Linked DNA regions of Cricetulus griseus. The protein of the gene in region 5 interacts with the protein of the main gene of each other region in a pairwise test. Links are inferred from orthologs where the notes say so. Each region holds a gene or a part of one and is shown on either strand. Other genes may lie near its edges.

The links.
Region 1: the proteins of Fhl3 (region 5) and Ctbp2 interact in binary tests that used the Homo sapiens proteins (3 or more experiments, as listed by UniProt). The link is inferred for Cricetulus griseus from reciprocal best matches to the Homo sapiens genes FHL3 and CTBP2.
Region 2: the proteins of Fhl3 (region 5) and Pak5 interact in a two-hybrid assay, tested with the Homo sapiens proteins (2 studies listed by BioGRID and IntAct). The two-hybrid records come from large-scale screens. The link is inferred for Cricetulus griseus from reciprocal best matches to the Homo sapiens genes FHL3 and PAK5.
Region 3: the proteins of Fhl3 (region 5) and Patl1 interact in binary tests that used the Homo sapiens proteins (3 or more experiments, as listed by UniProt). The two-hybrid records come from large-scale screens. The link is inferred for Cricetulus griseus from reciprocal best matches to the Homo sapiens genes FHL3 and PATL1.
Region 4: the proteins of Fhl3 (region 5) and Rhebl1 interact in binary tests that used the Homo sapiens proteins (3 or more experiments, as listed by UniProt). The two-hybrid records come from large-scale screens. The link is inferred for Cricetulus griseus from reciprocal best matches to the Homo sapiens genes FHL3 and RHEBL1.
Region 6: the proteins of Fhl3 (region 5) and Kirrel2 interact in binary tests that used the Homo sapiens proteins (3 or more experiments, as listed by UniProt). The two-hybrid records come from large-scale screens. The link is inferred for Cricetulus griseus from reciprocal best matches to the Homo sapiens genes FHL3 and KIRREL2.
Region 7: the proteins of Fhl3 (region 5) and Hipk1 interact in binary tests that used the Homo sapiens proteins (3 or more experiments, as listed by UniProt). The two-hybrid records come from large-scale screens. The link is inferred for Cricetulus griseus from reciprocal best matches to the Homo sapiens genes FHL3 and HIPK1.

Annotation. Positions count from the first base shown.
Region 1 is NC_048596.1:67,842,629-67,846,128, forward strand, and holds part of Ctbp2 (C-terminal-binding protein 2), read left to right. Parts: intron 1-1,836; coding exon 1,837-2,043; intron 2,044-3,500. UniProt on the Homo sapiens protein: Corepressor targeting diverse transcription regulators. Functions in brown adipose tissue (BAT) differentiation. Isoform 2 probably acts as a scaffold for specialized synapses.
Region 2 is NC_048599.1:42,473,759-42,477,723, reverse strand, and holds the start of Pak5 (serine/threonine-protein kinase PAK 5), read right to left. Parts: upstream 2,801-3,965; coding exon 2,597-2,800; intron 1-2,596.
Region 3 is NC_048596.1:48,669,268-48,672,767, forward strand, and holds part of Patl1 (protein PAT1 homolog 1), read right to left. Parts: coding exon 3,462-3,500; intron 1,232-3,461; coding exon 1,076-1,231; intron 1-1,075. UniProt on the Homo sapiens protein: RNA-binding protein involved in deadenylation-dependent decapping of mRNAs, leading to the degradation of mRNAs. Acts as a scaffold protein that connects deadenylation and decapping machinery.
Region 4 is NC_048595.1:395,350,090-395,354,263, forward strand, and holds the start of Rhebl1 (GTPase RhebL1), read right to left. Parts: upstream 2,801-4,174; 5' UTR 2,586-2,800; coding exon 2,534-2,585; intron 2,025-2,533; coding exon 1,887-2,024; intron 1,302-1,886; coding exon 1,234-1,301; intron 972-1,233; coding exon 889-971; intron 801-888; coding exon 744-800; intron 493-743; coding exon 445-492; coding exon of another isoform or gene 411-444; intron 1-410.
Region 5 is NC_048595.1:28,358,427-28,362,431, forward strand, and holds the start of Fhl3 (four and a half LIM domains protein 3), read right to left. Parts: upstream 2,801-4,005; 5' UTR 2,689-2,800; coding exon 2,644-2,688; intron 2,247-2,643; coding exon 2,070-2,246; intron 1,963-2,069; coding exon 1,788-1,962; intron 788-1,787; coding exon 618-787; intron 533-617; coding exon 322-532; intron 238-321; coding exon 89-237; 3' UTR 1-88. UniProt on the Homo sapiens protein: Recruited by SOX15 to FOXK1 promoters where it acts as a transcriptional coactivator of FOXK1.
Region 6 is NC_048602.1:5,379,680-5,382,425, forward strand, and holds the end of Kirrel2 (kin of IRRE-like protein 2), read left to right. Parts: intron 1-343; coding exon 344-409; intron 410-1,896; coding exon 1,897-1,935; intron 1,936-2,204; coding exon 2,205-2,246; downstream 2,247-2,746. UniProt on the Homo sapiens protein: May regulate basal insulin secretion.
Region 7 is NW_023276806.1:53,160,682-53,164,702, reverse strand, and holds the start of Hipk1 (homeodomain-interacting protein kinase 1), read right to left. Parts: upstream 2,801-4,021; 5' UTR 2,666-2,800; intron 1-2,665.

The DNA.
Region 1 (3,500 bases), on a different chromosome or scaffold from region 5:
GTTCCTGGAAGGGAACACTCCACAGTGGACCTAGCAGGTAGTGATAACTGGGTCTTGTGTGAAGCCCTCTGTATCTATAGGTGCAGCCCTTCAATCTGTTTAATGCAGGGCAGCACTTACCCACAACACCCTAGTTCTCCAGAGATCATGCATAACACAGGTAATGGAACATCCTTGGTCTCTCCTCAGAAGGTTATTCAGCTATTTGGAGCCACTTACAGTGACTCCTTCATTTCCTCATTTAAAACCATGGTCTTTTTCTCGGGACGTCAGAGAACCATATGGGAATTGGCACTTGGAGGTTACCCTGGGGAGAACATATCCACTGAACTCTTTGGCATGTCTACAAGACCCACTTCAATGATCAACGGACAGCTGTCTGCCGTTTCTGGCAAGATGGTTCCTCTTCTTGTCCAATTATTAATTATTCCCAGGCTTGGGTTCCGCCTCTCCACGAGGGTGCTAGAGCCAAGAAGCTACATATCCACATTGTGGTTTTGAGTTGAGCAAACATCCTGCCTTGGTCTCCCTCTTTATATAGAACTCTCACCTTGCCTTTATCATATGGGGGCCTGCCTGCACTGATTGTCATTGGTCAGCTAAGCTATGACATCCCTGAACCACAGCTGGGCACACAGCCGAATCTGATTACCACCCACTGGGCTTTTTCTCAGAGGACTGAAATGCGTCATAACAATATAATAATAGCCCGAGATCCCATGCTGAGTCATTCCAAATGAATGGGGCCCCTGTGTTTTGCAGGATTACTGCTCTTCAACTCATAGGAAAGATAGCTTCCATCATCAAGGTTCCTTAGCAAATTTATCTGTAGCCCAGAGAAGTCCACTGCAGCCAGGCAGAGAGGATGGCCTGCTCATGGTGCCCTCCTTCGCTTTGAGCTGTCTGTTTTATTGGGAGGAGTCACATCACTGGACCCCAGGGCAGTCATGGTAGCAAGAAGAGACAAGAAGAGACATAATACCACAGACCTAAGGTGTTTAAGGGACTATTGATCACCTTCCGTCTAGGTGATCTTCGTATCCCCCAGTCTTGAAAAGCCAACAGAACCCAAGGCTACCTTGAAAGGTAGCTGCACCTTGCTGCCCAGATGGCAACTATCAATCAAGATGGAGCCTTTTGGCCTGAAGAGTGGCAGGGAAAGCTACTACCTTTCCTCAACACCCCCTGCTGAAGGGAAGTTGGTGCCCACACCCCTCCTTCCTGGGGGCTTAGTCCATTCTCTGACAGGTCCACCTCAGGCCTCAGGCCTCCTGCTCTCTGCCAGAATCAGATAAACCATGAGCTTTAGAAACGTGGATAACTCTAAAGTCAAGATCCTCCTGCCTCAGCCTTCAGCGTTTAAGGTTAGAGGTGTGTGTCAGCATGCTTGCCTGGAGCTGTGTGTCAACAGTAATTAGTGACTAGGGTATTGGGGTTTACATTAGGGTGCATAAGGTGGAAACAATCTCTTGCCCATATAGCTCCACAATGAGCCTGGAAAAGAGTCTGGATTTCTGGTCCCTCCACCCTTCCAGGCCTGTCCCGGATAGATCTGGGACTGAAGCACCCACCATCTTTCTGCCTGCTCTGGGGCTCCTTTGGGCCTCAGACCAGGACTGGAAAGAAGGGGAGTTGGGCTGGCTGTGAGCTAAGACTTGAACCTATAAACCATGTTGGATATGTGTGTAGTTAGTGGTGAGTACTTCTGAGACGAAGAGGGCCTACCAAATACTTGACCCAACCCCGGACAGGAAGTAGTAGTTCTCCATTTCTAAGCAGGGTACCTCAGAATCCTGGGACTTTGCTCACCTCTGGGCCTGGCCATTTCCCTTTCAGGGATTGCTGTTTGCAACATCCCATCTGCTGCAGTGGAGGAGACAGCCGATTCCACTGTCTGCCACATCCTCAATCTGTATCGGCGGAACACATGGCTGTACCAGGCCCTACGAGAAGGCACACGGGTTCAGAGCGTGGAACAGATCCGTGAGGTTGCATCGGGAGCTGCCCGGATCCGAGGGGAAACACTGGGCCTCATCGGTTTTGGTATGTGCCTCTTGAGACAGACTTGGTTCAAGGGAGTGGGGGTGGGTAGGTCAAGGGTCAAGAATAATAAGAGAACTTGACCGGTAGTGAGATCTGGGCCTGTTATACAAGAATCTGTCTATGTTGCTGGCCAGTGGTACAGCAGGAGTGCACCCTCTGCTGTCACTGGAAAGGACTGTGCTTGGTAAATCTCCCTGAGGCAGAGGGTAAAAGTTTGGCTGTACAAGGTGTGTTACTACTGGTGAGTGTGTGTAACTAGTGGTGAGCAGCAACCTGGGTCATAGGTCCTGAAGGCTCTTAAATATAGATGCCCCCCTCCCCCCAGCAGTAACATGAAATCACTTAAAGATTCAAGCCTGAGGGTAATGCCAAGCTGTGGGCTTGAAAATCTCTTGTGAGACTAGGACAAGACATAGTCTTTCTGGACTTGGTTGTTGCCATGGAGATATTTGAGCAGAGACCTGGGAGTCTCCAGCAAGTGTGGTAGGGGACCGAGGAAAGTTTAAGCGGTGAAGTGAGATAGACACATGCTACTGCTGTTATCCACACAGACTCCAATAGGACTCCTAGCTGGTTGCGATCACTAACTCACTCCATAACCTTAAGGAATTGTTTGGCTTCTTTGCCTCCATTTCTCGTTCTGTAACTAGAGCATTAGGTGGAAGCAGGGGGATACATGGCTGCTGCCTCTTGACTCTAAGGCAGCATAAGGAACACATGGAAAAGGTTGATTCTGGCTTCCAGAAATTTTTCTGATTCGTATCACCTTTAGCTCAGAGCTGGCTGAGGGTCAGGGCTTCTAAGACAGTTTTAGAAGAGGGAGGATTTACTGGATGACTCCAAGAGTGCTCCTCTTTCTATAGAGCTTCACTCTTCCCCTCCCCCCCCCAACCCCCGACCCCAAGCCTAGGCCTCTGGGGCAGTCAGAGTCTGAGTTCAAGATGCTGGGGAAGGCTCTGTGGTGTTTCACAGGTCTTCAGATATGCAGGTACCATGTGTGAGTACTATAGCACTCTCTGCTAGTACCCTCCTGTGCTTCCTGTGGCCATCCTATGAAGCCCTTCTGTGGCCTGGGATGGTCTCTATCAGGCTGTAGAACCTGTGGGCGGCTCTGAGCCAGCCGGTGAGAAGCCCCTCTCATTCTGGAGTCCCTGTACCCATCACATGTGCTTTTGTAATTGAGTGTTATTTGGCTGAGTGCTGACTTTCAGCTTTCCCAAGCCCTCCCCCTGGCTTCCCTACATTCATGGCTGCTGCAGTCTCCCTGGCTTCCTGTATAGCTCTAATGGTCTATGGCCCCCAGGAACTGTAGTGAAGAGACAGGAGAAAGGATGTTTGCGGCTGCCCAGAGCTGCGGCCAGCCTGCTGAAGAGCAACAAGGGAGGAGGCTCAAAGAAACCTGAAGCTGGGGCTGGACAAAGGTCCCTCACACTGCCTGCCATACTGATAAAAACTGT
Region 2 (3,965 bases), on a different chromosome or scaffold from region 5:
GGTTTCTCTGTGTAGCCCTGGTTGTCCTGGAACTCATTTTGTAGGCCAGGTTGGCCCCAGACTTAGAGATTTGCCTGCTTCTGTCCCCTGAGTGCTGGAATTAAAGGCATGGGCCACCACCACACAAATAAGAAGCTTATAAAGCAAAAGAGTAGAGAGTTCATGATATTTTAGGCATCAACTATGACACTACAATATATGTTACTTTCTGAAAAATCCTACTGTAACCTCAGGTAGACTTCTCAAAGAACCTAAGTTTCCCAAGAGTTCCAGACTGTACTATGAAAACCAAGCACTCATATCTTCATGATAATTTTATCTGTTATAGCACATACTTTGTAGAATTCTTCTATAGAAAAATGAGCAAGTTATAGAAAGTTACAATTTAAACGAAACTCAAGTCTTCTGTATGAATGAGAATTTTTCTCAATCTTAAATAAATAGGAAGTTCGAAGATAGTTATATAGTATGACATCACAATAAAATTTAAATATATCAAAATATTTAGAATTATTGCTATAATAATAATTAACATTAAAAAGAAACAGGAAGAAAACGTTAAGATGTGCATATAACACAGCTAATTTTGAAACAACTTGGGTAATGTTGCTTATGATGCTCTTATGGACAAAACAGTTAAGTATGAAAAACATTCTTGGTGGGGGAAGAAGAGGAGCTGTTAGAAATTGAACCCATTGAATTTATGCTAAGTGCAGGTCATATCACTGACCTTCATTTCCTGACCTTGCCAAATGTTTGAAAGGTATACTCCCCTTTGACTATTCAGATGATTTCAGTCAGTTTATGTGCTTGGGGTTTGGGGTCAAGAAAGTCAACTCAACATAAATCTAAGATTCTGATATCTTGAACTTTTTTTTTAACCAGTGTAAAGTCATTCTGATTATATCATCTATGTAAATAAGTTTTTATAACTACTTTTATAAAGATTTTCAAAATCTCTTTAGGCCAGCCGCCTTTGCACCAGCAGGATATTATTTAGAAATGAACACCAAGAAGCTCTAACCCAGTTTTACTGAATCAGATACAGGGGTAGAGCTCCATATCTGTGTTATGGTGGTTTGAATAAAAATGGCTCCCATAAGCCCATAGAGAGCAGTACTATTAGGAGGTACAGCCTTACTGGAGTAGGTGCAGTCTTGTTGGAGGATGTGTGTCATTGGGGGCAGGCTTTGAGGTATCAGAATCTCAAGCCAGGTCTAAGGGCTCCCTGTCTTCCTACTGCCCCTGGATCCAGATGTAGAACTCTCAGCTACCTCTCCAGTACCATTACAGCCAATTTAGTCCAATGACAATGGACTAAATCTCTCAAGTGTAAGCCAGCCCCAACTAAATGTTTTCCTTTATAAGAATTTGTGTGGCTCTGGTGTCTCTTCACTGCAATAGAAATCCCAACTAGAACATTTGTTTTAGCAAGACACTTCAGGTGATTCTCAATATACCTTGAGAAGCCCTGGCATAAATGAGTCTGCAAAGGACAGATGTACTCTTACAAGTTGTAGGCAAAATAGATAAGCTAGAGTTTCTGAACAGGGGCAATGGGAGTCATGACCCATCAAGGAATACTGGCTCATGTGGTAGATTTCTACTCAGGTAAATCCTCCTGAAGCCTGCTGTCCAAAAATAAGGGACGACACACTTCTTTCATTGGATCACTATTCGAATTCAACCAGTTGAAGAGATAACAGACTCCTTTATCATTTATCAACTATATCTTTTGTTCACATCCTGTAGAATCACTTTATATATAATTTAGCACAATTTAGGCACTATTAATGTTCACACAGAGTAAGTATCCTCATAGCAAAGATACGTTCTAGTATAATGAATGACAGAGGAACATGAGTTTCATACTTTGTTGAGATTGGAAGACTCTGGAGTGATCTGATGTATATTATTCTGCTAAATATCTATACTGTTTTACTCCCATGGAGAGCTTGTGGGCAACTGCCTGATAGACTACAGAATTCTTACCCTCCAGTAAAGAAGAAGCTGCAACCTCTGAATTGTCTTTTTGGTAACTGAACATAGCTGAAACTTAATGAGTCATGAACATTCCTTATCAAAAATCTACCAGCTGTTTGTTCAGGTTAATTATTCAATGACTGAAATTATTTGCTAATATGAAATATCTCTTTCTTAGACTATGGAGATAAATGTGAAGATACACACATTTACTGTATAAATCATACATATAGACACATACATTTGAGTGTATGCTTATAAATATGATTTATTGCTACTGAAATCTGTTATCGTTGTATTTTATAATAGTAAGTATAAATATTTTGAGAGCAAATAGAAGACAATGAAATATGTCCAGTAAAATATTTGATTAGATCTATTGCTGATATTATCAGAGGAGCTGGGTATTATTGACAGAAATAAAAATTCATTTTGTAGCTTAATTTTACATCTAAATTTTACAATAATCAGTATTCAAAGACAACATTTCCCTTTCATGTGCTGCAAAATGAAGGCTAACTGTGGCTAAAGTTACCCAGTTTATAAAGATAGTACACTAAATCAAGTCAGAGCCTGGTGCTGAAGTCAACCTGAAGACAGAATCCTTGCATACCTTCATGGGAGCCAGTTGTATCGGTGTGATGCATGACGGATCCACCATGGGCTTGGGCCTGTTGGCTGTGTCTGCTAACAGGCTGTGCCATTGCTGGGGAAGGCCAGTAAATTTCTGCTCCTGTGGATCAAACCCAGTATGAACCCTGTGCTCAAAGTTGGATGGGCCAGAAATTTCAATCTTTTTCTTTTTCTTCCCAAACATGATGTAAAAAACCTATGAAATACAAAGAGAAAACAGGCAGCTTATTATATCTCACCACCAGGAGATAAATTTATTTTAGATAATTTATCTACATCATTTCAGTTATCTCTCACAATACTAATTTCAAAAGATAAAAGTTATATTTTCAGGCTGTATATATGAGATAATTTCATTCTGAATCTTTGTTCTTATCTTGAATGATCACTGTGGATTACAGTTGCTTGTCCCATTGGTGCTGAATTTGGCCCATGTGAACTGCATGGATCAATGGTCTGGAAAATAAGCCAGTCTAGGGTGGGGGTGTTTGGATGCTCTTAGTACTCCACCCCAATAAACTTGTCATTAAGAATCCTCAGGTAGATTATACTTGCCAATCCTCAGTTTTAGAAGAGAGATTTGAAGAAGACATAGTGCAACCTGGAGTCAAGACCAGGCAACTCTGTGGAGCCATTGTTGAGCCACAGCTGACAGTTACACTGATGTAACACGTGAAGAGCTATGTTTCCAACTTGTGTATCATATCAACATTACTGAAGCAAAAGCTGAACAATTCTCAAGGAGAAGCACCTCAAAGTTTGGTATGAAGTCAAAATCCAGAACACATATGTGACAAAATAGCATATATATCAACAAGAAAAATGAGCTAATAATTATTCTGCATAAAAACCAATTATTATAGATAGAAAATAAATATTTATCAAACAGATAGAATATCACCTGCTCAAGTAGGTCCTGTAAGTGTTAACTGTATTAAATGGTGATTCTGTACTTCATGATCTGGTAGCCTGTGATGTAACCTAGCTTTGAACACTGTGTCATCATGAATTACATGTGATTGCCATACTTTAGGTGTGTGTGCTTTTGACCAGGGGTTACTCACCTGTGAGTAGGTTAAACAAGGTGTCACCTTGAGAATCCTTCCACATATTGCCATGGGGTTTATAAAAAGATATATATATATATATATATATATATATATATATATATCAGTGTGTGTACATATGTACATATGTGTATATGCATACATATATATTTGGCTTAAACACTTATTTTTCTTTCTTAGGGAAGCTTACTTCAGTGTATAACCATTCTGGTAGGATTGAAGATATTCTAAAGAGAGACATTTGTGCCCCAGAAACTCCCTACTGGGAGAATGAAAAGGCTG
Region 3 (3,500 bases), on a different chromosome or scaffold from region 5:
ATAAATAGATGTATATTTTGGGATTTCATTCTACTTTCCTGGGTTTATATTATAGAGGATAATCCCCCCACAAAATTTCCCTTCATGCTATTTGCAAGCAAATTTTCATCAGCTCAGGATCTCGTATGACTTCCTGGTTTTTTACTGCTCTTTCCAAATTAAGAGTGACTAAGTAACAGGAAGACCATGACTGGTCACTTGAGAGCCTCCCTATATCCTGAGGGATACAGGCATGCTTTTCTATCTCTGATGGCCTGTTACTGTTGGCAGATAAAAGGAGGAAGAGGTCCTGAGCCTTCACCTCTATTGCTTGTCATGGCCCTAAACAAGCGCCTACTATCTACCAGGTATCATCTAAATACCAGAACACTGGGCAAAGCCTGCACCCACACTTGCATAACACAGATCAGGAAACCGGCTGAGCAAATACTCAGGATCATAATGCTGGAAAAGGGCAGGCAAGCTGACATGGCCTGTTTAGAAACTCACGATCCTCCTTCCTTATTAGGTTTCCTCTAAGGGGCTTTAAACTAAAAAAGAAAAAAAAGCTCCCCCCCCCTTTTTTTTTGGAGGTAGGGGTTATGCCCTGGAATTCAATATGTAAACTAGGCTGGCTTTGAACTCACATAGGCCCGGCTGGCCTGAGTGGTGGGGTTACACACAAGTGCACCAAGTTTTGCCTTAATCTTTGGATCTTTAATATGACATAACTGAAAGCTGTATGCATCCTTCCTGCAGCTAGGTATGCCATGTGACTAAACCCTGGTCACTGCTACTCATCAGAAGCTTGCTAGAATTTCTTGGGAAAAGCCCTAACAAAGAAGACAGGTAGTTAATCTACACTTTAATAATCCATACCCAGCTTTGTTCTTCATGTCAAGACAGTTTTAATTTTCAGAACTAACCTGAAGCAGGGACCTCATGAGTATGGGAATCTACAGTTAAAGAGGACCGGAATAATTGTAAAAAAGACTGGATGCTTGATGCCCCAAATTCCATAAAGCTACAGTAGTCCTAATTTTCCTAAGTCAATATAGATGCCACATAAGTTAAGGACACTAACGGACAAGACAACCTTGTTCTGGAGCACAGCAGTGAGGTGAGGATTGGAGGGTGCTGGTGCAGTTGCACTTTGAGGTAGGTTCATTAGCTGTTGCAGAAGGCTGGTGACAGTCACTGAAGGAAGATGATAGAGGAGAAGAGAGAAGGGACTCAGTAAGCATGGCAGCACCTACAAAACAAACAAGAACGTTACACTCTACCAACTGTTCCTTCACTTACATCCCACTGGTGGCTGTGGCTAGCAGGATGCTCACCACATACAAAATCATGATATTACTGTGTGCCAGCACATTTGGTTGTAATGAAAAGGCAGGATGAGTTACTGACCCAGCACTTACTACAAATGATTGATATACTTTTGGTATCATTATGAACTCATTAAAGGAAATCTAATTCAGTCTACTGCTGTAATTTTCCTTTCTGATGTTAAGTATACCACTTTTGGAAAACAGGAGTCCCCTCAAATTGGTTTATGCATCCCTAATAACCTATTAGTTCCCTTGCCTCTGGTTTAAGATGAGGATTATATGTACTTCTTACACCTGGATCCAGTTATTATTGCAAGAAAAATCGATTCTAGAGACATGGTAGATTACTTTTTAATTTACATATATTAACAACTAAGCACATGCATGTATACTTACATATGTATACATACACACAAACAGAGACAAAGAGGGGGAGGAGAGAGAATGAACTACAACTCTACAAACACACATTTTTAGGCTGGCCTCAAGTATGGCAACCCTCCCGCCTTAGCCTCCCTAGTGTGGGGAAATCAGGTGTGAGTTACCACATGCAACTTTTCTACATAGTTAACTAAGTGTTCTTTACTAGCAAGTAAGCCCCATGAAGATACTTTTGTATTCCTAGCTTTATTTCTGTGATATAAAACAGTGCCTGATATGCAGATGTATTCAGTAAGTATCTGCCAAGTGTTAAGATTCTTCCAAACCTGCTTGCATCGTGAGTTTCTATGAGACCATGATTGACAAGAGTGTCCACTGCTTCATTCTCTTTGGCATTTATGCTTTAAAATGGGCATGCCCTTTTACTCTGGCCTTTTATTCTCTAGGATAAATTTCAAATCTTTAAAATTTTCCTCCATCCCATTTTTCATTCTTGGAGTCTCTTAAAAATGTACTGGTTAGCTGGGTGGTGGTGGCGGTGCACAACTTTAATCCCAGCACTCAGGAGGCAAAGGCAGGCGGATTCCTGTGAGTTTGAGACCAGCCTCCTGGTCTACAAGAGCGAGTTCCAGGACTGTCTCCAAAGCCACAGAGAAACCCTGTCTTAAAAAAAACAAAGTACTGGTTTTGGGGCTAGAGAGATAGCTCAGCTGTTAAGAACACCTGTTGCTTTTATAGAGGACCCAGATTGAATTCCCAGCACCCACATGGTGGCTCACAAACCCTAACTACAGCTGTAGGGGATCCAATGCCCTATTCTGAACTCCATGGATATCAATCATGCACATAGTGCACAGACACACATGCAAACGATTCATAAGTAAAATTTAAAAAATAAAATAAAAAATGTCATTTGTTTCATTCTGTTGCATTTTTCTAATGAGACCTAAATTTTTCATTCCTTTCTATAAAAATCAACATCTCAAAGGCTACAATAGTAATTTTCAGCTCTTTTGTGTTTTAAGGTATACAGGCATGTCTTCTGCACAGAAACTGATGGGGGATGTCCTTCTCTATGCTGTGAATATGTTTCTCTCATTGGTTGGTGATTAAAGCGGGTTTGGTCAATGGACAGCAGGATGTAACTAGGTGGGGGCTAACAGACTAGGAGAATTCTGGGAAGAGGAACGCAGGGAGTGAGTTACAAGGGAGTTGCCATGGAGCTACCGGGAAGATAGGATGCCTGGGCATTCTATGGTAAGCCAAGACTACCTGGAGATACATAGATTAATAGAAACGGGTTAATAATCAAGAGTGCTAGCCAATAAGAAGCCCGAGCCATCAGCCTAACAGTTTATAATTAATATAAACCTCTGTGTGTTCATTTGGGACTAATGGAATGCAGGACCAAGAGGGACAGAAACTTCGGTTCATAGCAGTTACTACTCAATTTGTAGTCAACTGCAATGTTTCCTTACAAGCATCTCACTATTCTGAATCCCATACTCACTAATACTATTTCTTTAGCAATTTCCTGTCTTCAACTTGAAAAAGTACAAGAAAATTTGCTAATCTTTGAAAAGCTATTGCAAGGATAAGCAGAGATCTTTTAACATTTACCTGTGGGACACCATTCAACCAAACCTCTAGGCTAACATGAAGCTACTGACAATGGAGCAGGGAGGGATAGTTTACATCCACAAAAGTAACCAAAAGCCAAAGTTTTCCAACTTGAGAAGCATAGTAAGAGTTGCCCTACATGGTGTGTACCTCATCTTGTGCGTCCTTCTTGATAAGGAAAGGGAGGTT
Region 4 (4,174 bases), about 370 Mb from region 5:
AAACAATGCCTGCAAGCTGTCTGAAAATTCTTTTTTTTTTTTTTTTTTGTCTGAAAATTCTTTAAGATTTAATTTCCTCTTGATGCTTCACACCCCTCCCCCAAGGTTTGATGAGGGTGAGGTGAGAAAAAAATACATGTAAACAAAAGCATGATGGGTAAATGTAAGACTGAAGCTTGAAATAGGAATTATGGCTTTATGTTAGAGTTATTCTTAAGTAACCATCAAGGTAATGATGAAAAGAGGGAAAATGGCTAGACATAGTGACCCACCCCTACAATCTCCGCTGGCACTGCTAGAAAGGCAAGAGGACAGGGACTTAAAAGGACAGCCTGGACTACATGGTGAAGATCCTGTCTCAAACAGAGGCAGGCAGGACTACAGCTTGACTGATCCCTAGTACAACTTACTTTCCTTTGCCATGAGCAACAGGGGTTTACACACCTGTCTGGAGAGAGATCTGCCTTGTTCCCCACAAGCACCACAGGTAGCCTGTGATGAAACAGCAGTTACTATTGTATGATTATAAGAACCCTTTTCCTGGAATGTAAAAAATAAATTAATAATAAAAAAAAAGAGTCCTTTCCCCAATCTCTATGGACCCCAACTAGTCTAACTACAGCAAGGCTAGATGATTCCCCAAACAAGCCAGGCATGATCCATGGCCAGCCTCCTGGAAGAATCCCCATGATTGCTTTCCTCCACACCTTCATTCCCACATTCTATTTCCTGGGGCCACTTACCGAGTTTTACCATGGCCTTCATGTAGCTTTTGGTACAGGCTCTTAATGATTTGGAAGCTTCAAAACATAAGAGATAGAGCTTTAATCTCAGTTCTAGGATTATTGTTGAGTCCTCCAAGCCCCACTCAAAATCTTAGTCACACACCTATGCAGAGAGGTGACAGAATATACAAGCACGTAACCATGGACCCCAATGATGAACGAATAGGGCAGAATGCTGTACTCATCCTGACAAGAAACAGAAACATGAGTATTAAGAGCCACACCATTCAAATGGCACAAGCTGTTGGGATAACATACAGGTGACCCTCTCAGAGACATTCCTTGCTCCCATTCAACAAGTATTTATAAAGTAGCTCCAATGAGCCTTGTACACTGTTAATAGCTAAAATACTTTTCTTTTCATACTACATCACACATGAAACACACAGACCACAAGACTTTATACAGGGGGAACTGCAACATTTGGACACCCTACCCCAATTGGTACCTGCCCTGCTGTGTCCACTAGATGTAGATGAAACTCATCTTTGCCAAGAGTCACTGTCTTGCTGTAAGCTGGAAAAACAAAGAGGAAAACTTCTTGACTGTGAGGTGCTTTGTAGGACCAGTGATGTGTATTCCTTTACATTCCTGACCCTGGGAGTAACAGAGACAGACTAGTTCCAGGGAACTTTCCAGGATCTGGAGAGTTATGCTAGGGTTCTTGCTGTCCTCATCTTTAGTATAGTAAAGATTCTATACTATCCTGGACTAAAATCTTACAAATTCTACTCTCTAGACCATCAGTTCTCAACCTGTGGCTCACAACCTTTTGGAGGGTCAAATATCATATATCCTGCATATCATATATCCTGCATTACAACTCATAACAGTAGCAAAATTACAGTTATGAAGTAGCCATGAAATAATTTTATGGTGGGGGAACATGAGGAACTGCAGTTAAATGCTAAAGGGTCACAGCATTAGGAAGGCTGAGAACCACTGCCCTAGACACTCACAGAACAGGATTCCCAGAACTGATATGATTAACACATAAATAAATCAGCCCCTTGGTAACAAAGAAATATCAAATTATGTAATTGGAGAGGGTACCCAGTCTATCTAGGTTCCATCTCCTTCACACTAAAGAACATTACTCACTATTCTCCACTGTAGGATCGTAGCCTTCCAGGAACTCGCCTTCCACAAATTGATGGGCCAAAGATGTCTTCCCTTTAAGGACCAGAGATTGTTGTAATATAATCATCCACCTACATTCACACCGTTTGTCCTTTCGGACTGTGGCCAGGACCAAAACGCATCCCAAATCAGCTTCCCATTCAGTGAAAGACCCCCAGCTCCAAGCAATGCTTCCCCTTGGACTACTACTACGAACATCCTTACGCGTTGACTCCGCAGCAGTTTGGCTCCTGGGATGCATTCAGCACTGCCATAGGAAGCCTTTCCCTGCCCCACCCCACCCCACCTCACCCTTTGGAAGATCCAGGACTCCCTAGGATCTAGTGCACCAGCCCAAGGACACTTGCAAGTGTCTGCCTCGCGCAGACCTCCACCACGCCTTCAAATGCTGATCCCACCCCTGTTCCCAGAGTAACTCAGGGACCACTGATGCAACCACAGCCCGGTCCACTTTAACCCTTGAGTGCTCCTTTTCCAGCATCCCTCCACACGACTTCTTCCCCGTCCACATTGGCTCCTCTAGTCACATTCCCGCGACAGCGCGCCTCTTCTGGACACAAAGCAACGGTGCTGCCACCGCTGGTGCTCTCGGGAGGGCGGAGACTCACCTACCGAGCGGTACCCCAGGATGGCCACCTTCCTGTAGCGCACCAGAGGCATGACAGGACGCCGCTCCGAGGGGCTCCTAGGAGCGCGGACCAAGAGAGCCCGAACACTAGCTGGAGTGCAGGCGGCAGGGGACCCCGGGAAGGACCGCGGCTCACCAAAGATAAGCCGGGTGAAGGGAAAGGAAATCAAAACAAGCCGCGCGCCCGGGGCAGCCCACGTGATCACAACACTGCGGCTCTACGCAAGGGAGCCGGGCGCCAGGGGCGGGGGAGGGGCGGAATACGCGGCTGGGCGGCTCCCGGCCCCGCCCCCAGGCTGCTCCCCATTGGTCAATTAGAATGAGGGCGGGCGGAGTCGCCCACAAGGAGGGACCAGTGGGCTCACGTGGAGCGGGAATTTTGGGAGCTGCACATGCGTAGACCTGAGCCGGTTCATTCATAAAGAAAAAGGTGCTCGGGGTCCTAGAGGTACTTTTCCATGTGCAGCCTAGCCAAAAAAGCTGTGAATCTTAGATGGAAAAACAGCTGTTGTGAAAATACAAAACGAAAAGGAAAATACCTGCTGTGGTTGGCTGGTATTGGTTTTTGGTTTTGTGTTTTTAAGACAAGGTCTCACCTTGTAACCCTGACTGGACTACAACTCTCTATGTAGACCATGCTGGCTCAAAACTCAAAGAGGTCCACTTGCCTCTACTTACCTAATACTGAATTAAAGCATGCAACACTACAAAGTAGCTTTGGGCCGGAGGTTTTGTTGAAAAGATGCTAGGCCTCTGAAGTCAGCAGTGATGGCAGTTTTTAATCCCAGCACTCAGGAGGCAGAGGCAGGCGCATCTCTTGAGGCTATCCTGGTCTACAGAGTGAGTTCCAGAACAGCCAGAGGTAAACAAAGAAACCTTGTCTGGGGCGGTGAAAAAAAAAAAGGGGGAAGGATTCTAGGCCTTTGTTTTTCTTTTCTTCAAGATAGGGTTTCTCTGTGTAACAGCCCTGGCTGTCCTGGAACTTGCTTTGTAGACCAGGCTGGCTTCAAACTCACAGAGATCCACTGGCCTCTAGCTCCAGAGTGCTGGGATTAAAGGTTTGGGGCCACAACCATACGGCTCAACAAATATTTTTTGATCTGTGAACTTGAGAGTTGAGGCAGGAGAATGCTGTCAGTTCAAGACCAGCCTGGGCTAAACAATGATCAAGCCACCCAAGACCTTGTCAAAAAACAAAAAACCCAGGCTTCCTGGCCTAGGCCTATAATTGCAGGATTTAAGAGGTGAAGACAGGAAGGTCAGGAGTTCAAACTCATTATGGCCTCAGCTACATAGTGAGTTTGAGCCCAAGAGACCTTGTCTTAAAAAAAAGAAAAAGAAAGTCTATTGAGCATGTTCAGACACTGACCCAGGTTTGCTGAAAGAGATAAGCATGACATACAAGGTCTCTGTTTCCCTGGCATTTAAATTTATTCATAGAATTTGGAGTTGTGACAATGGCATGCATGAGGCCTGCCTTTTGCTCAAACCCCAGAACACACACACACACACACACACACACACACACACACACACACACACACACACACAGGGAGGACTGGAGAGATAACTCAGCATTGGCTGTTCTTCTATAGGACACAGGTTCAATTCCCAGCACCCA
Region 5 (4,005 bases):
GAGGGGCTGGGTTCCAAAAGTGGTTCAGAAAAAGAGCCAAAGTCTTGAACCCTTGGTTTGGGAAAGGGGAAGAGTCAGGAGCCTTGGCTCAGGGCCCTGCTTGGCTGCAGCCCTGGCACAGAACTTGGTCTCCGTCTGGTACGAAGCCTTGGCCCACCAGGGAGGTGGAGCAGCGGGCACAGGAGAAGCAGCTGTGGTGCCAATGCCGGTCTTCGAAGGACACATACTTGCCTCCTCCTGGAGGAGAGGTGGAGGTTAGTTTTGCAGACTGGTGGCGCTGCTGCCCCTCAGCCTCACCCAGGATCACAGCCATACTCTTACCTGCAGCCTCGCCACTGCTCCCACCTGTGATGGGGCGCTTGCAGCTGCTGCACTTGGGTGCAAAGAGTTCTCCAAAACAGGCCACACAGTAGGGATCATCATCCCGAGATGTGAACTGCTGTCCTGCAAGGGGGGTCTTGCACCCAGTGCAGACCAGGCATTCTCGATGCCAGGGTTGGTCTCGATATGTCACTCCACCCTGGGTCAGCGTCTGTGGGGGCATCACCCATCAGCAGGGGAGTGAGTATTCCCACCCACAACAGGTCTTACCCTGAATTCACAGGCCCAGCCCCCACCTTGCTGCAGCGGGCACACCGAGGAGCAAACTTGTTCTCATAGCAAGGCACGCAGTAGTGAGCGCCCTTGTCAGGCACGAAGGAACGGGAGCCTAGAGGCTGTTCACACCCACTGCATAAGAAGCAATGTTCATGCCATGTCTGGCCTCCATACTCCAGCTTCCGGGACCCTGTGGGAAACAGGAATCCCACTTAGAGTCTTTGTCCCAAGTTCCCGAGGGTCACAGTCAATTCTACTCCCCAACCTATCCCTACTGCTTCTATAACCTAGTAGAGTTGTAAGACTCCCACCATCTATGTTACATATGCCAGCCTCTTTCCCCAAACTGGACATGAGGGTTCAGCACATGCTAAGCACATAGGTTAAACCTTCCATGCCCCCTCATAGGATCTTTCTTTTTTTTTTTTTTTTCTTTTGGTTTTTTTGAGACAGGGTTTCTTTGTAGCTTTGGAGCCTGTCCTGGAACTTGCTCTGCAGACCAGGCTGCTCTGGAACTCGGAGATCCGCCTGCCTCTGCCTCTGCCTCCCAAGTGCTGAGATTAAAGCTGTGTGCCACTACTACCTGTCCAGAAATACCAGTTTAACACTCAGGCAAGATCCCACTAGCCAGGCAACTCTGCTTACACAAAGCCTAATGCCCTAGGAATGACAGGTTTAGTACATGCTAAGCCTTTGCAAGTTCTAGGTATATCATTTTCTACACATGTAAGTCCTCACATACCTATGAGGTGTGCAGGACACCATACATTTTAAGCCTACAATTTGATCTCTGCACACAAAATTTCAATGCAGCAACCCTGAGAATCTCAGTATATCCTTAGCTCTTATATGAACCAAGCATGCAGGTCTTCACACATGCTAAGGCCTGTGTGTGCATCAAGTATGTCAGTGCTACGCACATAAGCCTATTGGTCTAATACACACTAAGCCTCCAGCTTGTCAGTTTTGGTATTCACCAAGCTTTTGAGTGTACAGCTGGGTGCATCAATCTGTGTGTGCATTAAGCTCTAAAGAGCATACATGCACAACAGATCCGTACATGTTCCAGGAACCTGTAGTATGCCTAGGTCTCTACCTACACCAAACCTCATGCACGTATGAGATGGGCAGACGCAAAGACCCTTCTCAGATGACAGGTCCCAAACCCAGGATGAGGCCCTGGGACATACCAGGCATGACAGTCTCCCCACAGGCAGAGCACTGTGAAGAGAAGGCTGTGCAGTAGCAGTCATTACAGAGAAGCTCACTGTCCTGGCAGGTGAAGGGCTCATCAGCGAGGGAGCGCTGGCAGCGGCAGCACCGGAAGCAGCCCTCATGGAAGTGGCGATCCTCATAGAACAGTTCCTTTGGGAGACAGAGCGGGGGCACTAGCATCTGGGCTTGGTGGATTTATCCTTGCCCCCCTCCCACCAGTCTGCACTTTACTCTCACCCATCTGGTCTGGTTCTTACCCTTGAATCATGCCCGATGAGCTGCTGGCACTCGGCACAGGTGTTGGCGAAGGTGTTGTCATAGCAGGGAACACAGTAGGGGCCACTGTCTGTCTGGATGTATTTGCGGCCGTACAAGGACTCACTGCATTTTGCACAGTCAAATGCCTCGCTCATGGTGGTGATGCTGAGTAAGCCCTGTTAGGAACACAAGATGGGGCAGAGTTCACCTAGAAGGGCTCTAGCATAGACAGGACAAGAGCTCTTTGCATTCAAAAAAAAAAAAAGAGAGGAGGCAAAGAAGAGATGAAAGCAGGTCGGGGTGGAGGGGGAGACTGTTGTGGGAACCCAAGAGTCTTAGGTTCAGTGCATGCTTGAGGATAGGAAGGGGTCAGGAAAAAATCAGGAAGCAGAAGTTGTTTTCTTATCTAGGCCCTGGCTGATCTGGGGGGAGGGGGCTTTTCCTGGGTCAGTGACTCATTTCCTGCAGCGCAGTGCAGCCTGAGGTTTGCTTCCACTCTCTGTACTGTCCCTAGGGTGCTAAAGGCCAGGACAGGGGGCCACCAACCTTACTGTATATAGACCGAACTCTCACCTCCTCATTCCCGGGATGGCCATAGGAGTTTAGATATGGGGACATTCATCTAGAGTTCTGATCTGGGGAGCTTCGGGTGGGATGGGCTGTTGTCCCACCCCCACCCCCACAACTCCCCACCGATGCAGGAAACAGCGGAATGCTAGAGAGATGCTTGACTGATGAGGGCGGTGTGAGAAGTTGGGCCTCCCCTCCCTGGAGAATCAGCCAAGCAAGCACTTAGGAGGCTCAGCCTAGGTTCAGGCAGGAAGGAAACCCTGCAAGCTGGACACAGCCAAATTTCCCCAGCTGGACCCTGGGCCTCATCCCCTACCACCTCTGCTGTGTCTCTGGTCACACCAGCCTGGGCAGTCTTGGCTGCAACATCTGCTGCAGCTGAGGCACTGCAGAGGGCCAGATGTCAGCTTTTTGCCAGCCAGAGGGAGAAAAAAAGGGGAAAACCGACATCCCTGGGGAGGCAGAAGGGAAGTGGAGACACAGAAAGAGGGCAGCACTCTGTGCCCCCCCCCCCATTCCAGGTGTCTCTGCTGGTAGCTCTGCAAAGACCCAGGGTCATGATATGTCCTTGGCTTGCATCTGGACAGACAGCCTCTGCCTATTTTTTTCTGATTCCCCAGGGTTTAAGGCCAGAGAAGGAAAAGGTGAGAAAACAGGAGGCCCTGGAGCCCTAGTAAGGCTCCTTCCTGACGGGGAGTAACAGAAGGGGAGCCCAGAGAGCTGTTGCTGCAGACACCCAGCCCCCCACCAAACCTCAGACACTTTCCATTTTCTCAGGAACAAAGCATGTTTGTGGGATGAGGTCACCCACACAGCTGCCTCTGGAACAGGAGCAAGAAGAATGGGGGGGCAGGGAAATGGGGTTCCCAGTCTCTTCTGCTGGCCAATGCCAGTCTCCGGGCCCAAAGTCAGAACTCCCCAGCTCCACCCTCCTCCACTATGAAGCACATGCTCAAAGGGCTGGGTAGTGAAGAAGATTCCCCTAGGACCCACAGGAAAGAGGTGGTGTCATTGTTGCAAAGGAGACTGGGGGAAGTTAAAGGGGTGCACCAAGGAACCCCCTTATCCTAACCCCCTTCTCCATGGCTGTACTGGCTTAAGATGAAGGAAAAGGCTTTCTCAGCAAGCACAGTGGGAAATTCTCACACAACACCTTGGTCTGCCTTAGAGTTCAGACTTCAGGCAGCGACAGATGTCTCAAACCTGGAGGGCCTGCCTCTTTGCGGGCTTATGAGTTTGAACTTTCCCTTCCACAAAGTAGGAGACACCGGGTTCACACCCAAAGCAGGACACAGGCCACCAAAGCTGAAGCCTTCAGAGTGGAGCGTCCTCAGGGTACCGGTTATGCTGAAGGGTGGAGAGAGC
Region 6 (2,746 bases), on a different chromosome or scaffold from region 5:
AGCATGCTCAAGACCCTCGGTTTGATTCCCAGGGCTACATAAACTCCAAATCAGAGATCCTCCAGCCACTGCCTCCTGAGTGCTGAGATTAAAGCATGTGCCATTATACCCAGCTTGGTTCCAGTCTTAAACATGACCTTAGCCGCATAGCATCCTCACGATGGCAAATATGTTTTATCCCCCAGTTATCCTTTTGGCTCAGTGTGTCCGGCTAGCCTCTTTATTGTCTTGAGTCCAGCCTCCAGGTCTCTCCTCCAGCCTGGCCTCCGGAGGAAGGCCTGTGGGATCTGGTGGGACAGGATGGACTTCTGAGCATGGCCTCTCGTTATTTTTCCTACCTCAGGGTCCCGTTGTGCACACTGACCACAGTGACCTGATTCTGGATGAAAAGGAGGCTCTGGAGACAGCGGTGAGTATGGGGGGAGGAGATCGCTATCCATCACCGAGTCTCCACCTCTCCCCACTTGCTCTTTTTTTAAGCTTGATGGAGTCAGGGTTCCACACTTGTACAGCCAGATTTGGTCTTTCTCCTGCCACCCCTGCAGCGCTGGGAATTACAAATTAGGACTTCAGACCTCAGCACCATACCTGGCTGCTTCCCTGCTTCCATCTGCTTTTGATTCTGTTGCCTTAAGACCTACCTTTGCCAGGTGGTGGCGCACGCCTTTAGTCCCAGCAGAGACAGAGGCAGGAGGATCTCTATGAGTTTGAGGCCAGCCTGGTCTACAGAGCGAGTGCCAGGAAAGCCATTACACAGAGAAATCCTGTCTTGCAAAGAAAAACAAAACAAAACAAAAACTACCTTTAACTCCTCCTGGGCCAGCTCACAGATCACAGCTCACAGGCTCCAGAGTTCAAGTTATCCACTACTAGCTCTTGTAGACCAGGCTGGTCTCAAACTCACAGAGATCCGCCTGCCTTTGCCTCCTGAGTGCTGGGATTAAAGGCGTGCGCCACCAACGCCCTGCAAGTTATCCACTGTTGTTTTGGTCTCTAGCCCCGTTCTTTGTTCTTTCCCCATCAGCCCCGTTTCGTGCTTCTAGGTGCCTCTTTGACTGCTCTCTACCAGCTGGTAGCCTTCCTCCCACTTGGTCCCACCCTAACATCTCATGTTTCCCAAAGACAGTTCTGCTTTGAAATCCTATCTTAGGATACACGCATTGATTCCGACCCTGGCTCCCATTCTAAAGCCCCCTCTCTGACTTTTCTTTGAGACAGAGCCTCATGTATCTCAGGCTAGCCTTGAACTGACTGTGTAACCAGAATGATCTAGAAGCTGGGTCGACGGTGGCGCACACCTTTAATCCCAGCACTCGGGAGGCAGAGGCAGGTGGATCTCTGTGAGTTCCAGGCCAGCCTGGTCTCCAGAACGAGTGCCAGGACAGGCTCCAAAACAATACAGAGAAACCTGTCTTGAAAAACAAACAACAAAAAAAACCCAAACAAACAAAAAAGAATGATCTAGAACTCCTGATTATGCTCCCGAGTACTGGGATTAAAACCATATGCCACCACACTGAGTTTCTGTAGCGCTGTGAATCAAACCAAGACAAGCACCCTACCGACTGAACTACATCCCTCTTGTCTGTATTTGATCGTACTTTTCTCTTGACCTGAAGCCAGCCAGCCCTCCTGCCCTCTCTCCCCCCTCCCTCCCTTCCCAGTCTCCCTCCCTGCCCCTCCTTAACTTCAGCCAGACCTTGCTTGTTCTAGGAAGCCAGCGCTTCCCCTGTCTCTGCCCAGCGATTCCTGTCTAGGATTTGCTGCTCCTGCTGTCTCTGGTTTCTGCCACCACACCTCTCTCTAGGTCTGGCTGTAGCTCCGTGTGTCTCTGCATCCATGATCCTTACCTTCCTACACCCTCACATTCCATACCAAGTCTCACTTTGTCCCCAGGATCCAACCAATGGTTACTACAAGGTCCGAGGAGTCAGTGTGAGCCTTAGCCTCGGGGAAGCCCCGGGAGGAGGCCTCTTCTTGCCACCCCCCTCTCCGATTGGACTTCCAGGGACTCCTACTTACTATGACTTCAAGCCACACCTGGACTTAGTACCCCCCTGCAGACTGTACAGAGCACGGGCCGGTTACCTCACCACCCCCCATCCCCGAGCTTTCGCCAGCTACATGAAGCCTACATCCTTTGGACCCCCGGATTTGAGCTCTGGGACTCCCCCCTTCCCCTACGCTACCTTGTCTCCACCCAGCCACCAGCGTCTCCAGACTCATGTGTGAAGACATCTCTCTAACTGAAGAGTCTTGAGATCGCCAACTTGCCATTGTGTGCTGTCCAGCATTCTCAGGAAATCAGAGCAAGTTGATGACCTACTCCTCCAAAACTGGACGCCAAAGGAGGGAAACAGCCGTCAGGATCATTGATGCCTAATAGGCTCAGCCAAAGGGGATGCTCCAAGTACGAGCAATGTGACCATGTGCCTGTTTAATCTCCTGGGAGAGAGACATTCAAAATGGTGACTAAACTCTTCGCAGGGGGACAAAGGCAGGAAGTGTAGGGAGTTGGGGACACGGATGGAAGGCATCTGTAGCCAGTAGAAAAGGTATTTGAAAATAACCATCTGCACCAAGAACAATGATAGCATAAGACAAATTAAGGTAAGAGAAATAATTCCCCCCACCCAGTCCTGACTTTCCCAGGAGGGGAACTTTGGTCAATAAAAGTATAGCCAATATGGCTGTTCATTCTATGAGAACTCAAAATGACGGCTGTCTTGATTCCTTCCTTAAAGAC
Region 7 (4,021 bases), on a different chromosome or scaffold from region 5:
GCTAACAGACTTTAAAAGGAGTCTTTCTAAAATCCTCTAATTCTAATCTGGAAAAACAGAAACTCAAAAAGGCCAAATAAGTTTTACACAGAGTTAATGAGCAAAATGCTGGCAAAGAATTCAGGTCTCCTGGTTTCTTTTCATTAAGCAACAAGGAAAACATGGTACCAGGTGCCTTTAAAGAATCCAAAGAAATACAATGTTTTATTCAATACCCTTAGAAGGCTGCGGAAGAGATCGGCAACCAAAAAGGAAAAAGTTATCTATAAAAGGCACTAGAGGGCCAACAAAATGGCTCAATGGTTAGAGGCATTTGCTGCTAAGTCTGAAAACATGTGTTCTAACCCCTGGACCCACATGACAGAAAACCAATTCCTGTAATTTGTCTTCTCCCGCACACACACACTCTGAATAAATGTAACAAAATACGTCCTACAGAAATACATTATGCATACACTAGCTGAATTTCTACAATCAAAAAGAAAGACACAATCAAAGTCAAAAGTAGACCCACACCAGGCACCATGAAGTTTCAGTAACACTGTCGCAGGACCATCCCTTCAGCTCAGGAGTACGAGGTCAGCCTGGTCAACCAAAGAGCATTAGTAACAAACAAAAAGAAGAAAATTAAGTGTTCACTCAGAAAAATGATCTTAATAACTTATGTGCAAAACAGCAAGAACTGTAGTGAAGGAGAAACTGAAGAGGAACTAGTAGGGGGGAAGGCCCACCAAAAACATATTGTTGTCACACAGTCAAGAAAAGGGCAGGTGACAGATCAGGCTGATGAAATTATTCAAATTACAAAAGAACCAATTAAAATACATAACTAACAAGCTGCACAAGTTTCAAGTATAAGAAGTTCACAGGCAGGTTTGGCTCACTGATTTCCACCAACAAACCACTGGTGGATCTATGCTTATAAAAACAAAAACAAAGAAGGAAAGAATTCTGTTTTCCAGACAAATGTGAACTTTGACATATTTTTTTTTCAGGAGGAAGATCTGGTTTGATTTTAAATCTCATTACCAATAAGCTTGCTCTAAAGTCTGTAAAATACAACGTCCAGAGATCAACTGTCCATGAGGCTATCACAAACTACTAGCCAAGCAGAACCAACACACATACAAGATAGTAGTCACCATTTTTGTTAAATGCTTTACCAGTTTGGAAGCCTCCAGCTTCAATCTCAAATACTTTACCAACAAGACAAGGCAAGTATCTTAAAGCCTTCATCATAAGGCAACACTGAGCCCTAAGAAAATTGCATGCAAATACCCAAAATAACCAGCTGAATAACAATAATTAGGTAAAATGAGTTGTTAGGTTTTTTAATTGTTTTACAGAAAATCTTAGGCTTTTAAATAAAAAAAAAAAAGGTGGCAATAATTTGCATTCTCTGTAATCTTAACCAAAAGCAACAACAACAACAAAAATCTTACAGACCATAAATCAAAAATAAAAATAGCTTTACACAAATAAGAACAAAATTGTAGGTTTTGCTGAGGGTATCAGGCTCTTAATTTAACCCCACTTCATCTAGTGCAGGAAGCCATGCTGCTGTTTTCATTAGTTACTAAGAAACAAGATAAAGGGCGGTCTGGGGAGGTGAAGTCTACGCTTGAAACCAGTATGTGGCTGCACTACACTGAGACTTCTCAAAGTATCACTAATAGACAAGAATGAATATCTTAAAATGAGTATCCACAATTGAGTCAGTGGTTACATAAAGATTAACTTACTGGAGCTTGGGGTTATCCTCCCCACCCCCCTTTCAGTCCCAGTCCCATCCCCAAAACAGGAAAGAAAGCGCGCCCAGCATAAACACAGGCCATTGCTCATGGTTCATCGTCACCACAACAAACTGGAGGTTAGACCAACGCTCCTGGAGACCAAGTTTCAGGTCTCGGTTCCCAAGAAAAAAGGGGGACTCCACCCCACAGTGCTGTTTATAGTCTGGGCCCTACCGGAGAATTTTTCGTTGTTTCCATCTTTTCCTTTAACGTTTGGGCTTTTTTTTTTTTTAATTGTTGCTGTTTTGGGCTTTGAAAGTCACGACGGGCTGCAAAAGTTTCTTTTGAAAAAGACCTCTAGCTTTGCCTTGAAAACATAAATATATAAGTGGGCTGGTCCCCCACAGGGCCTCACCACCATCACAAATTCCAAACTCAACGATTACAGAGCGTGAGCGGAGAGAACAGAAAAGCTTCCACACAACCCGACCATCACGATTTTCCCTAGACACGGCTTCCCGGTCCCCAAAGGCACAAATATGCCCGAGCTACAGCGACAGGCAGTGGGGTGACATGCACACGCACAAGCTTCACATAGGGAGCCTGCCACCGCAGCCAGGGGCAGGGGCGGGGAACCCGAGTGTGGGGAGATTGCCAGACGGGCCCCTGTCACCTGAGGACAACAGCGGCAAGCTCGGGAGGAAAGTGGCAGGATGGCAGGGGGAGTTGCCCATTTTTCCGGGCACCCAGTCGCGTCCCGCCGGCTCGCGACCAGGCGGCGGGACGCAGCGCCCAGGGCCGCGCGGGGCCTGCCCCAAGAGGCTCCCGCTGCAAGCCGGCCGCCCAGGGGAGTCCGCGGCCCGCTCGGCCCCACCTCGGGGCGCCCACCCCAGGACGCCCGGGCCCCCATCCCCTCGCCCGGCCTGACTCACCGCCGGTGTGTGTAGTTCTCAGCCGCGAGTCGGGGCCGCCGCGAGGAGGAGGCGGCGGAGGAGACGCGATCCGGGGCCCCGCCGCCGGGTCATCATACCCCCCGCACGAGCCGGCCCGGGCCCCGGCCCCCGCCCCCGGAGCCGTCCCCGCGCCCGTCCCGCGGCCGGAGCCTCGCCAGCCTCCCGCCTGCCCCGCCGCCCGGCCCCTTCCGCCGCCCGCCGCCGCCTCAGCGCCGCGCGCTCCCGCCTCGGCCTCCCGCTGCCGTCCGGGGCCACGGCCCGGCCCTTCGCTTCGCAGCTGCCGTTGTCGCCAGACCCGACAAGTGGAGCCCCGAGCGACCGCCCTCATCCGGCCGGCCCCGCCCCGCCGGAACCATTCAGCCACCTAGCGCCATGACACCTACTGGGGCGGAAGTGAGGAGGGGCTGGAGAGCTGGAGTCATTGCTTCGGGCGGCGGGCCGCAGCAGCGGATGGGCCTCCGTGGGGAGCCAGCGTGGATCCTGTCAGGGGGACCGGATTCCCCGCCCCCTCCGCTCAGCAGTCTCCGAGGTGTTTTACCGGCGTCTGGTGGCTGTCGCGTTTCCCGCTGCTGGATGTCATCTCCGCCAGTGTGACATCACCCCAAACCAGTGTGAAATCCTCCCCCCCCCACCCCCCTACACAACCGCATCCCAACGACTGGGCAGCGCGGGGAGACAACTGACTATCTGAGAAGCCCCCGAGGATGAAGAATTATCTCCGTTTAGGCTTCAATTGTTCGCTCCCCACGCAGAGTACTTTGTAGCAGCAAAAGGGATTTCGACGCCTCGCTATACCGAAGCGCTCCCATTGCAGTATGTTAGGAAGCCTAAGAAAATAACTACTCCGAACTCAGCTCCTCAGTGCATGCAGTAGACACAGATTGTCTTACCTCCACAGAAGGTAGAAAGGCTTCGGACTCTGGAAACAGCGCGCTGGACACACAATGTTCTAAGAAAATGGACACTGACAACTAGGTTATCTTAGTAGACAGTCGCCAACTCAGCCTCAAGAGATTCTGTAGGACTTCAGATATGACTTCTGGTGTGTAAACTCTTGGCTCCTAACATGGGAAACATTTTTTTAGAGACTAGTATTTACGAGAGTAGATTGTGGTGGCACACGCCTTTAATACTCAGGAGGTGGAAGCCGATGGATATCTGTGATTTCGAGGCCAGGTTGGTCTACAGAGTGAGGCACTGACTTTAAAAAAGAGATGAAGAAAGAAAAAGGAGTTCATGTGTTCTGTCTCACAGGTACTAAAGTCAGCAACTGTCTGGATCCGAGAAGTGACTGTGGACCACCGTACATGAACTCTCTAAGGAGGGAGCAGACCT